Linked DNA regions of Yarrowia lipolytica. The protein of the gene in region 3 interacts with the protein of the main gene of each other region in a pairwise test. Links are inferred from orthologs where the notes say so. Each region holds a gene or a part of one and is shown on either strand. Other genes may lie near its edges.

Evidence for each region.
Region 1: the proteins of YALI1_E12402g (region 3) and YALI1_F09345g interact in a two-hybrid assay, tested with the Schizosaccharomyces pombe proteins (7 studies listed by BioGRID). The link is inferred for Yarrowia lipolytica from reciprocal best matches to the Schizosaccharomyces pombe genes prp2 and uaf2.
Region 2: the proteins of YALI1_E12402g (region 3) and YALI1_F01034g interact in a two-hybrid assay, tested with the Schizosaccharomyces pombe proteins (3 studies listed by BioGRID). The link is inferred for Yarrowia lipolytica from reciprocal best matches to the Schizosaccharomyces pombe genes prp2 and uap2.

Annotation. Positions count from the first base shown.
Region 1 is NC_090775.1:932,816-936,231, reverse strand, and holds YALI1_F09345g (uncharacterized protein), read right to left. Parts: upstream 1,719-3,416; coding exon 1,666-1,718; intron 1,190-1,665; coding exon 631-1,189; downstream 1-630. Other genes in the region: YALI1_F09361g (uncharacterized protein), read right to left, coding at 44-90; YALI1_F09335g (uncharacterized protein), read left to right, coding at 2,071-2,076, 2,717-3,337.
Region 2 is NC_090775.1:101,580-105,179, forward strand, and holds YALI1_F01034g (uncharacterized protein), read left to right. Parts: upstream 1-1,846; coding exon 1,847-3,070; downstream 3,071-3,600. Other genes in the region: YALI1_F01020g (uncharacterized protein), read right to left, coding at 1-451. UniProt on the Schizosaccharomyces pombe protein: Has a role in pre-mRNA splicing.
Region 3 is NC_090774.1:1,238,339-1,242,691, forward strand, and holds YALI1_E12402g (uncharacterized protein), read left to right. Parts: upstream 1-1,894; coding exon 1,895-3,700; downstream 3,701-4,353. Other genes in the region: YALI1_E12295g (uncharacterized protein), read left to right, coding at 1-883; YALI1_E12421g (uncharacterized protein), read left to right, coding at 3,797-3,885, 4,340-4,353. UniProt on the Schizosaccharomyces pombe protein: Necessary for the splicing of pre-mRNA. The SF1-U2AF59-U2AF23 complex has a role in the recognition of the branch site (5'-UACUAAC-3'), the pyrimidine tract and the 3'-splice site at the 3'-end of introns.

The DNA.
Region 1 (3,416 bases), on a different chromosome or scaffold from region 3:
TTGCGCAATGACCTTCTGGTCCGTCACGTGTTCCCATACTCACCTGGGGGAAAATGTTGTCAGTGAAAACGAATATCTATCTGCTGCCATGGTGTAGATTGGTGATGGTGGAGACAAGGATGTTGCCACTGTGGTGATGAAGTTAGTTTGGAGTCACGTGCTGCTGGGAGGCGAATCTGTAGGGAAAGAGATATATATATATATATTAGGAGAAGTTTAGGTGATTGGTGGGGGATTTGGGAGAACGGATGGGTTTCTCATGTGGTAGAGTACGCCCGCTGATGGTTTCGATTCATCAAAGAAGTGCCATTTACTTTAGTGGCGGTATTTGAGGCGTTTGTACTGTGACATTACAACAAGTAAATCAATGTTTCTACTTGGAAGTTTAGTTAGATTTATACTTAGGATCACACAGGGCATGTGCAAGTATAGAAACGTTTCAAGTGTGAAAATGGACATATATAATACACATACTTGTACTACGCGACTGGTATTACAATTCAGTACACGCTATACAGCATCTGGTCTACAACTACTTGCATCTCTCCTCCCCAATTCCTTGATCCCAATACTGTTATGCTCATTAAATATATTATATATTAATACATCAGTCAACAATCGACTTCCAATCTACCGCTTGGACTTTCGGTCCCTCTGACGGTTATAAAATTTCCGCTGAGAAGCGTCCAGATCCTTTGCCAGCTGTCGTGGAGGCCGTTTGGCATGCATGAAGTTGCACATGTTGCCTCGCGAACACTCATTGGTGTCATGCTGGCGACAACACGACTCGGTGAAGTCGTTGACGGGACTTAGTTCGCACCAAACGGGCCGTCCGGCATACCACCGTGTGTTGAATAGGTCGCATGCCCTCTGAGCATCCTCCTGGTTCCGGAACCGCAGATATGTGTTTCCCGTGAGATGATCGTTGCCGTTTTCGCACACAATCATCTCCTCCAGGCGTCCCAGTTTGGCTGCCTCCATGTAAATGTCTTCGTAGAAGAGTGCAAAGTGCTTGTCGAGGTCCGCCTTGGTCATCTTCGATCCGTCCTCATTGAGAGGATCTGATTCGCCATTAGCTGGGTTTTGATACAGGTTCGAGCACAGCACTGTGTTGGAATAGGTGGGCTTGACGTGTTTTCGGGAACACTTTTCACCGTGACGGCACGCGCCGATTTTGTAATAAAATGAGCTGGGTTAGTATGTATGTAGTAGGGGGTTTGACGGTCTCGGGTTGAGAGTCGTCACAGGAGAACAGATGGGCTCAAGGAGTCAAGAACAAGCTAGCAACATATCAAAGTACGTCTCGTTTGCTTTTCCCACCTTGGCTTGCTGTGTCTATCCGTATCAACTTCTCTATGCATCACCAGTGCAACAACATGATGTAGTGGTCCTATCCAGCAGCTGACAACTGTCGTCTGTAGTGACATGTCTAGCGATAAGAAGTCATAGATAGACAGACAGTCTGTCTTCCAACACTTGGCTGGACTAACAACTATCACAGACACCAACAGGCCGCAAACATCTGCGTCTCTCACACACCATGTTCTCGACAACCACTCTGGTATGCATCACAAGCCGTCTAAACGAGCAAACGATCGGCCAAAACACCAACACCAGCCCGCGCGGGGGTTCAAAACACTCAAATAACTCCTTTCTGACACTCACCAGTTCACTTTGTCGTTTTCCGTTCCGTATATCGAAGCTAGGTGGCTGGCCATGTTGAACACGCGAATAATGTGTGGCGATAAAAGTTAGATTTGAGAAACCTGGCAGAGAGTATTAAGTAAGTTCCAAGTAATGTGCAGCTGGATGGAGTACGCACATACTGGGAGAGAGGGACTGAAAACGAAGGCGGTGAAGAGCCAGCCAAGGGGAAATATTGTACATGAGTAACTACATGAGTTATATCATCCACTTTTGAGTCTTCCAACGTCAATTTCCTACCCATCCAGCCGGCCCATTACTTGATGCGAACGTCACATGACCATGCATGAAAAATGGCTGCTGGCATGCAAGCATGTCACGAAATCCTCGATCTAAAAAAGACGAACTTTCACAGTTCAGAACGACATGGGAGTGAGTATGCCGGGGAGAAGGGAGGTGGAATGTAAACGTCCATCCTCGCGACTCCTTGACTGTTGCTGTTACAGCGATCAGATAGGATCTGTATCAAGTGGCTAAGGGAAGAGACCTTGTTCAACCTCTCATTGTTACCTTGGGGAACAGATCGCCACTGGAATAAACACTTCATCAACAATCAATGTGTGTCAGAACGAGAGTCTCTACCAAAACTGTTATTGTTTAATTGTCACCAATGCCAGATCAGAGCAGCCAATGGTCAATATGAAGTGTCTTTTGTTTGGACTCATTATCGTACAGTGTTTTGTCTTCTACAATCCGTGATGCCCTCCTAAAGACTACTTCAGGTGGTGGGCCATCTTGCCCATGACCTTGAATACTAAAAGACACCATCTTTGAACTCATATCATGCAACCCTTCGTTACTCGAATACGAAACGTGATATGTCGTTGTGCTATACTGGATATTCTTAACAGTTTGCTTGCCTCCAGAGATCTTGGATTCTGAAGGTCATGGCCTACTTCGATTGCATAACACCGTTTTTGCCAGACTGCACAATCACAGTGACCCGTCGCAGGCTCCTCTTCATCGCTATTTGCCCTAACTCCGCTGTCTTACTGTTCATGCGTTAACACAGAATGACGGAGGGTCCATCCCCACTCGCCGGGATCTGGTTAAAGACAAACAAAACGGCTTAACCACTTCCCAGCTCTTCGATGCCACTCAGGACAATGCCGATTTTGACTGGAAAAACTGCCCCGTGAGCAAAAAGTCGCTCCAACAACCTATCGTCAGCGACTACAAGGGCCGATTGTACAACAAAGATGCGGTTCTCGAGTGGCTACTGGACAAGGACGAGTCGTCTGTGGCTGCCCAAGTCATCCCCCACATCCAGAGTGTCAAAGACATTGTTGAACTGCACTTTGAAACCTCCAAGGACGGAGATTGGATCTGCCCTTTGTCTCAACGGGAAGTCAAGGCTCTCACCTACCGGTTTGTCTACGTGGCAGAGTCAGGCTGGGTGTACTCGGAATCCGCCATCAAGGAGTTCAAAGAATGTCCCCAGACAAGTGTCCCATTTTCGGACAAGAACCTCGTACTTATCAATCCCATCAGAGAAGAGGATAAGCTGGCTGCCAAGGCGAGATTGGATAGGTTGACTGAAGAAGGACTTACACATGGCCTTAGGAAGATCAAGAAGGACAAGAAGGACAAGAAGGACAAGAAGAAGAAGGAATACAAGGTGGTGAAGCCATAACGATGGTTGTAAACATACAGTAGCCATGGACCTATAGATTATTTATACACATCTAATTACGAATAAGAGTTCATTAAGT
Region 2 (3,600 bases), on a different chromosome or scaffold from region 3:
GCTCCTCCTTGACGTCCTCCTTAGGCTCCTCCTTGACATCCTCCTTGGCCACCTCTTCGTCGTCATCCTTCAGGAACCGGAACACGTCGCTGTAGATGGAGTAGTTGGTGCCGCTCTTGCTTTCGAGAACAACGGACTGCACAAACTTCTGAGGCACGCCATCGTCGGTGGACGACATCTGGCCGATGATCTGGATCAGAATGGACTTGTTGGGGCCCTCCATGGCGTCCAGGCACGAGATGAGCGTCTTGCAGCCCTTGGTGTGCAGCTGGCTAATCCGCTCCTGGATGCTCTCTGTGCCAGAGATCGCGGCGGTGTCGTCCTGCTCCTTGCCGTGCAGCAGCTTCGCATCGACGTCGTAAAAGTGGTGCAGCTCGCTGGGGTCCGAGTGCAGTCGCTTAAAGTACTGCGACACAAACAGCCATGCAATCTGTTCAGCGGTGGGGGACATCTGGGTTAGCGAGGTGAAGAAAAGTGCAAGTGCGGATCGCAGGCGAGGTCGTAAGACGGGAAAAAGACACTATTGCTCGTCAGACTGGGTGCAAGAGACCAGCTTTTGTGTATGACAGCAGCAGATCTGTAGTGGAGATGCAGTATTGGGATCACAGATGTGGGTCTGTCGCCAGCTCACTAGCGATATGATGATGTCTGCGGTGATCTGTCGAGTGCTGTCTGTTGGATGCTGTACGTTGAGTGTTGCCTGACGAGCACTATCCGCTAATGACGTGTCTTCTCTTTGACCTGTGAGTTGCTGTATCTTTTCTCTCTGCAGTCAGCCTGACAACTGCGTATGCGTGTATTCGTGGGACTGGCGGTAGGTGGGAGACCAAGATGGTCTGTAATGAACTGAATCAACACCCGAAAGGGCCAAATGAACACGTATGACAGCCCTAAATCAGCACCAACAGATCCGGTGGCCAACATTCACTGAATTCATGTCAGCATTAGTCACATCAAAGTCACCACATAGTCACAGCAACAACATCATGATAGAACACACACAGTCAACAGCAGACAGAAGCAGCAAACAGCTCCAGCAACCAGCCAACAGCTCCATCCACCAGCCAACAACATAACCTGCGTCTCTCACCGCTCTCGTCGTCCTACCACCGTGTCTGTGCCTCACTCTCTGCCGCTCTCTACCTCCTCACATTGGGGACATTTCATCGTTGTTGATCCAAACACAAAGAGGCAGAAAAGAGCGAAATCAACACACACAGACCGACACCGGAGACGTCACGTGGCCCATCTCCGAGCGCGGTGCCGCGCCATACTCACCGTAAAACGGATGTGATCAAAGACTAGGGTTGAGGGTCTTGAGGTGAAAGAAAAGCACTTTCATCAGGCGAACTTAAAACTACGGCTGACTAAGGTGGGTGGGTGAGTATGGGTTAGGTTAAGAGTGGTGGTGGAAAATTGTTCACCAGTTCGATTTTCCGCCATTTCAATGAATTTTTTGTTTTAATATTTCTTTTCGTTTTCCCAGATCAGTTCAATTCACCTGGAAATGAGCACAAAATAGTCTGGCTTTTGGTTGTTGCTTTAGGCTGAATGAAATAAATTTATAAAAATTAAAAATTTAAAAATTAAAAATTAAAAATGTATTTTTAAAAAAAACCACAAAAGAAATAAAGAAATAAAAAAATACCAAAGGTCAATAAAAATGGAGAAAAATACAAATATACAAAAATACAAATACATCAATTCATTAAATCAAGGATTTTTTTTTGTTTTTTCATTTAATTTTTTTCCCAAATCAATTCATATCTCTTAATCTGAAACCTAAAATCGCCCACCAATATGGAATTCCAAGCTCGACAATTACACGATACTAATTCACTCCAACATGTCAGACAACCAATTGGCGGAAATCGCGGCAATTGCCCCGTTACCGCCCGCCGGTGGAGACCCCGATCACGTGACATACTCGACGATCAAGGGCACGTATCTGTATGAGAAGGAGGAAGATGGGACCATGTTCGAGTTTGACCATGTGACTAGAGGCTGGCGGTTGATAGAGGAGGAGGAGGAGGACAAGGAGGAGGAGGTGGAGGATAAGGGAGACGAGTTGGAAGCGGCTCTGGTTGCTGGGGAGACGACGGACACAACTGCGACTGCGAAGGCGGAACCGAGTGGGAGGGATACGGGCAAAAACCAGCCGGTTTCGGACAAGAAGGCGGTTCAGGAGCAGCTCAAAAAGAGGCGCAAAGAGGTAATTGAGGAGCGACGGAATGCGAAAAAGGCTCAGCAGAAGGGCGACAAGCCTCCTCAGAAGGCCATCTATGTCAGTGGGCTTCCTTCAACTGCTACCAACGATGAGCTGGTGGACATTTTCCAAAAGTACGGAGTGTTGGCCGAAGATGTTTACACTGGCAAGAAGAAGGCTCGGGTTTATGTCGATGAGCAGGGCAAGGGCAAGGGCGACGGTCTGGTGGTTTTTTTCAAGCCCGAAAGCGTGAAATTGGCGGTGGATATGCTGCACAATCAGCCAGTTTACGTTGGCGACACAATGGTCACTCTGAATGTCCAGCCGGCAGTTTTCGACAAGGAAAAGGGCAGTAGCGACAATAAGAAGCAAGAGACGAATTCCGGTCCCAATTACTCCGAAGAAGCCAAGGCCAAGGCCAAGAGGAAGTACACTCAATTGCAGCAAAGGCTCAACGATTGGGATGAGGAGGAGGTCAAACGAGTCAAGACGGAGTCTCGTGAAAAGTCGTCCAAGGTGGTCACTCTCAAACGGGTATTTACCATTCAGGAGCTCCAGGATGACGTGGATGCCGAAATGGACATCAAGGAAGATATTTATAACGGTTGTGGAGCTATCGGAACAGTCACAAACGTGACTTTATACGACCTGGAGCCCGACGGAGTGGTGACCGTCAAGTTTGAAAGAGCTTCCGATGCCGCGGAGTGCGTGGAGAAGATGAACGGTCGCTTCTTTGGTGGCCAGAAACTCGAGGCATACATTGATTATGACGAGACCAAGTGGAGAAAGACTAAGGATCGGGGAGGTGATGAGGAAGATGAGGAGAGGCTGGAGAGGTTTGGAGAGTGGCTGGAGGGCGAGTAGTATAGTATGTACTCTGTTAGATACACTTGGTCTCCATCTCGCCATAAGTGCGTGTATACTAATCATATAGATCGACAAATGGACAAGTTGAGTTCAATAGGGTATGACGCGCGAAGCCGAATCAATTACTTAACGTTAGTTTTTTGTATTTTTTTTATTTTATTTGTTATAACATAATAATATTGAAACGTCGATATTTTGTTTAAATAGTTACCATATTTACAAAATTGTTAAAATCATTGTTAAGATTCTGTATCCCAGGGTTTAGATATTGTTACAGTATCTGGAGAAGAACAAAGTAAACCTATGAAGCACGAATTTGTCATTGTATCCTGTCAAATATGACTTGAAGCAGCCTTCATATTGTCAGCTACTGGTGCAGTTTTGGATGTCTCCGAGAATGATTGAGTAGTGTTCCATTTCGACGCAGATTTAAACTGGAGGTTCTAATCGGCTTTATGAAATAGATAGAAAACAAGTGTTACAACGGCAATAACTTCAAAAGCCAGGCCAATATTTCCAGGCCAATA
Region 3 (4,353 bases):
CATTCTGGATCTCGTTCAGATTCTGGTTCGAACCAAGCAGGGTATTGAGGGAGCCTATGAGGAAGAAGTCGGGGCTTCCAACGAAGAAACTCCCTCCAAGGAGAAGAAAGTTGGCCGGCCTCATCTTCTCACGTCTGTGGACGTTTCCATCAACTCTGGAACGCTGCAGGTCTACCCCAGCACTCTTCTCGATACTCAGGTCCTCTACGTCAATCTGTCTGGAACACATGCCAAGTTTGTTTGTGACACCCAGAAGCGTGGCCTCGTCAAGTCGCACCTGGAGCTGGGTATGCACGAGTTTATCATTGCTCTGAGTACTTTCAAGACCCAGATCAACGAGGAGGATCTGTTGACACTCACTGTGGACGAGTTTGTGGCTCATACTCGCAGAGCCAAGGGAGGCACCATTGTGCGGATCCCCAAGGTCGACATCAACATGCACACATGGCAGTACGACACCAACCCTACTGAGGTCAAGTTCACATACTCGTCCGAATTCGCCGGCAAAGTGGACATTGGCTGGAACTTTGGCTCAGTCACCTTCATCCGAGAAATGTGGAACTCGCACGCCAAGGCCTTTGCCAGCCGAAGAGAGGCCTACAAGCTCAACTTTGTGGCCAACCCGTCGGTGCTCAAGGATGGCGAGCTGGAGGAGAAGCTCAAGGATGTGGCTCTGGATGAAAAGTACGTCTATGTGGCGTTGGAGCCTCCCAACATTGAGATTCCCCAGCTGCGAGATATGGGCGAAGCCACTCCTCCCATTGAGTGGATTGGTCTGCATCGACAGCGGTTCCCCGGTCTGACTCATCAGGTGGTGATTGTGGGTCTTCAGGGCTTGGTCAAGGAGGTTGAAGTTGCATACTTTACAGTTCTTGGAGCGTAATGACGGCGATATAATGGAGTTTGAGGAGGAAGAAGAGAAAGATATGAGCGGCTGAGTGTGGGGGACAAAAAGGAGGACAATTTATTTATTTATATTATTTTATTATTTCAATTTGGGGTGCTCCGGCACACATGCAGTACATACTCGTACTCGATCTTGGATCAGTGGTGTGTGGCTAGACCATTCATAAATCACTACAGGACAGCCTTGTGTATCACGCGGTGCATCATCTGTTTCTGGACCCTTCTGGACCCTTCTGTTTGTTTCTTCTGTCTCACTCCATCCAACTTCCACACATCGACGATGCAGAAATCAGGCGTGGAAAACAGAAGTTTGGATCGGTGATGGTGTGGAGTTGTAGGGAGGATGGAGTTGTAGGAGGATGAAGGGCGTGGATGAGTACTTGAATCTCGTTTGAATCTCGTTTGTTTCTATGCAAAATGTGTCAAGATAAGATGATTAGTCGTGTAGAAGAGGAGCCAACTAATAGATAAGTATTTCGTTCCAAAGGTAATCATTTTCCAAGTGTAACGCTAACTAATGATTGAAGGGATGGGGTTTTATGATGGAGTTTTAAAGACATTTTTGGAGATGAATTGTGCCAAAAAGAAACATTTGCTAAGAATATGTTTGCGGTCTATCGCTTTATTCATCTACAATTTCTCTAGCATCTTTAGAACACCGAATATGAACCCCCAGCATGCTTTTGCTCTTAACAAAATGTCAAGTAAAGAAGACTTTTCCAGGAAAGGACGTGAGTTCTGAAAATGGGCAGAAAAAAAGTAGCACAGACACAAAAAGTGGACCTTAAAAGACATCCAAGCCCTAATACCCCAAGCATCTGCTTCTACTCGGTCTACTCCCTGGGTTGTATGGTTGCCACCAGACCTGCCTGGGTTACCCTACCCGATGTGAAGCTTGTCCTTCTTCACCTGCAGCGTACTTACTCAGCACTCACTGGTTTGAACTGTACACACACCACATCACCACCCTCCAACCGTCTGTTTCAGCATGAATAACAGCGTGGAGGAGTTTTTGGCGCAGACGCAGCGCGGGCTGGACACGCAACAGCCGCCGCGACCTCGTTCCCACGACTCGCGCGACACCGAACGAGATGTCCGAGATCGAGAACGAGAGCGGGACCGGGACTTCAGAGACCGAGACCGTGAGCGAGACCGCGAGCGGGACCGGTACCGTAACCAGCGGTGGCGTCGACGGGACGACTCGGTGGACCGTGAGCGGGAGCGAGAACGACACAGAGATCGAGATTATCGAGATCGCGGCGATCGAGGAGATCGAAGGGACAGATACAGCAGAGATGGAGGTAGAGACCGACGGGACCGACGGGACGACGATCGCACACGTGACAGACCACGTGATCGAGACAGAGACAGAGACAGAGACAGAGACAGAGACAGAGACAGAGATAGGGATAGGGATAGGGATAGGGATAGAGACAGAGGAGACAGAGAACGGGCACGTGACCGAACCCGCGAACGAGATCGAGACGTTTCGATCGACGATAGCGTGGTGCCTCTCGACGAGCGTCCATTGTCTGCTCCCACGGGCTGGGATGTCAAGGCTCGAGGATATGAGCGGGTCAGTTCTGAGCTGGCCAAACGATCGGGTCTGTTTCCGTTACCGGGACGTCCCACCCAAGTCAACTATAATGTGTTGAGGGGACTGGTGGAAGGTCTGCCTGATCAGCCCACGGACCACGAGACGGCAGCAATGATGCCTCTGGTGGACACGGGACCCATCAACAACGGTAAGGGATCTGTTCGACCTGAGTTTTCACGGGTGGCGCGAAGACTGATTCTGAGTGGTATTCCTGCCGATCAGATCGACACGGTGGCCATCAAGAGCTTCTTCACAGACTTCATCGAGGGTCTGGAGCTGCAGGGATCCAAGGAACGGATTGTGGACGGAGTTTACAAGCATCCTCGTCTCCCCGAGGTGTTAGTGGAGTTCTTTTCTGCGGAAATGGCAACCTTAGCCCTGGCTCTGTCTGGTCTAGGTATCAATTACTCGGGACCCCCCATTAGTATACGACGACCGTCCAACTACATTTGTCCTACGCCAGAGAGAAGCGAAGTTTCAAGAAGATCGCTGGACGAGGAGAAGGAGGTGGCTTCTGTGGTGGAGGACTCCAACACGAAAATCATTGTGTGGGATATTCCGTTCAACGTAGAAGAGGACCAGGTGCGACAGCTGACAGCATCGTTCGGTGAGCTTTCTGCATTCCAGCTCATTCGACAGCTGCCGTCTCGGGAGTCGGCGGGCATTGCTCTGGTGGACTACAAGGACCCCGAGGTGGTCAAGGACGCCGTTTCAGGGCTGTCAGGACAGGTGATTGGTGGAAAGAACCTCAAGGTAATGCTAGCATGTGAAGGACCCACGCAGTTGTCGTGTTCGTCCAACAACGGGTTGAAGGGAATTGTGACGGTCATGAATGACGTCAAGAGCCGGCCGGAGTCGTCGGTCATTGTTCTGTTCAACCTGGTGACTCTGGACGAGCTGCTGGATGATGTGGCCTACAGAGAAATCACCGAGCAGGTCGAGTCCGAGTGTCTCAAATATGGAGGAGGAGAAGAGGTCCAAATCAAGATCCCACGACCTGACCCCGAGGCCATGAAGGCGTCGTATCGACGGCTAATCTTTGAGACTCGTCCAGGTGTGGGAAAGGTTTACGTCAAGTTTGCCAGTGTGGAAACGAGTCGAGTGGCGATGCAGAAGTTGACGGGCCTGCGGTTTAGCAGGAGAAGTGTCATTGCGAGTTATTACTCGGAGGAGTGTTTTGACATGAATGTGTTTTAGATAGTTGAGCGCAACGGAGAGACACTTGTTCCAGGACTCTCAATCGGAGCAGTGGAGTGCGAACGAGCTAGACATTGTGACGCTCTCTACTCTGATATGAAGGTTCATCTATCATTATTGTGTTTGTCATCATGGATTTTGGCTGGATTGGATATAATGATACCGAGTTTCCTTCGGGGTTATAGGTCTTTACATTAATTGTACATTTGAATAGTTGGATTTTTGTATAAGGGTATGAGCAGCAAGAAAGCAATTTGTAGAAAAATGAGTAGGAAGAGCGCGATTTTCACATTGTCGCAGTTCTGAACACTCGTGGAATGTCAAACAAATAATTAAAAAATAAAATAAAAACAAATAAAAATAAAAATAAAAATAAATCTTAGATTATTGTGTTTTTTATTTAATTTTTTTTATTATAACATTAATACATTAAACTCTATATTTAATAAGACAAGTACTTGTACTGTAGGTAAACCGCTGAATGTGATCGACGGATTAACTCTGACCCAGCTCTCTCTTAAAATAATGCGATTAAAAAATAAAAATGAAAATAAATAAATAAATAAAGATCAATAAATTAAGATAAATAAAATAAAGATCAATAAATAAAGATAAATAAATAAAAAGACGTACACATAGAATTCCACACGTTG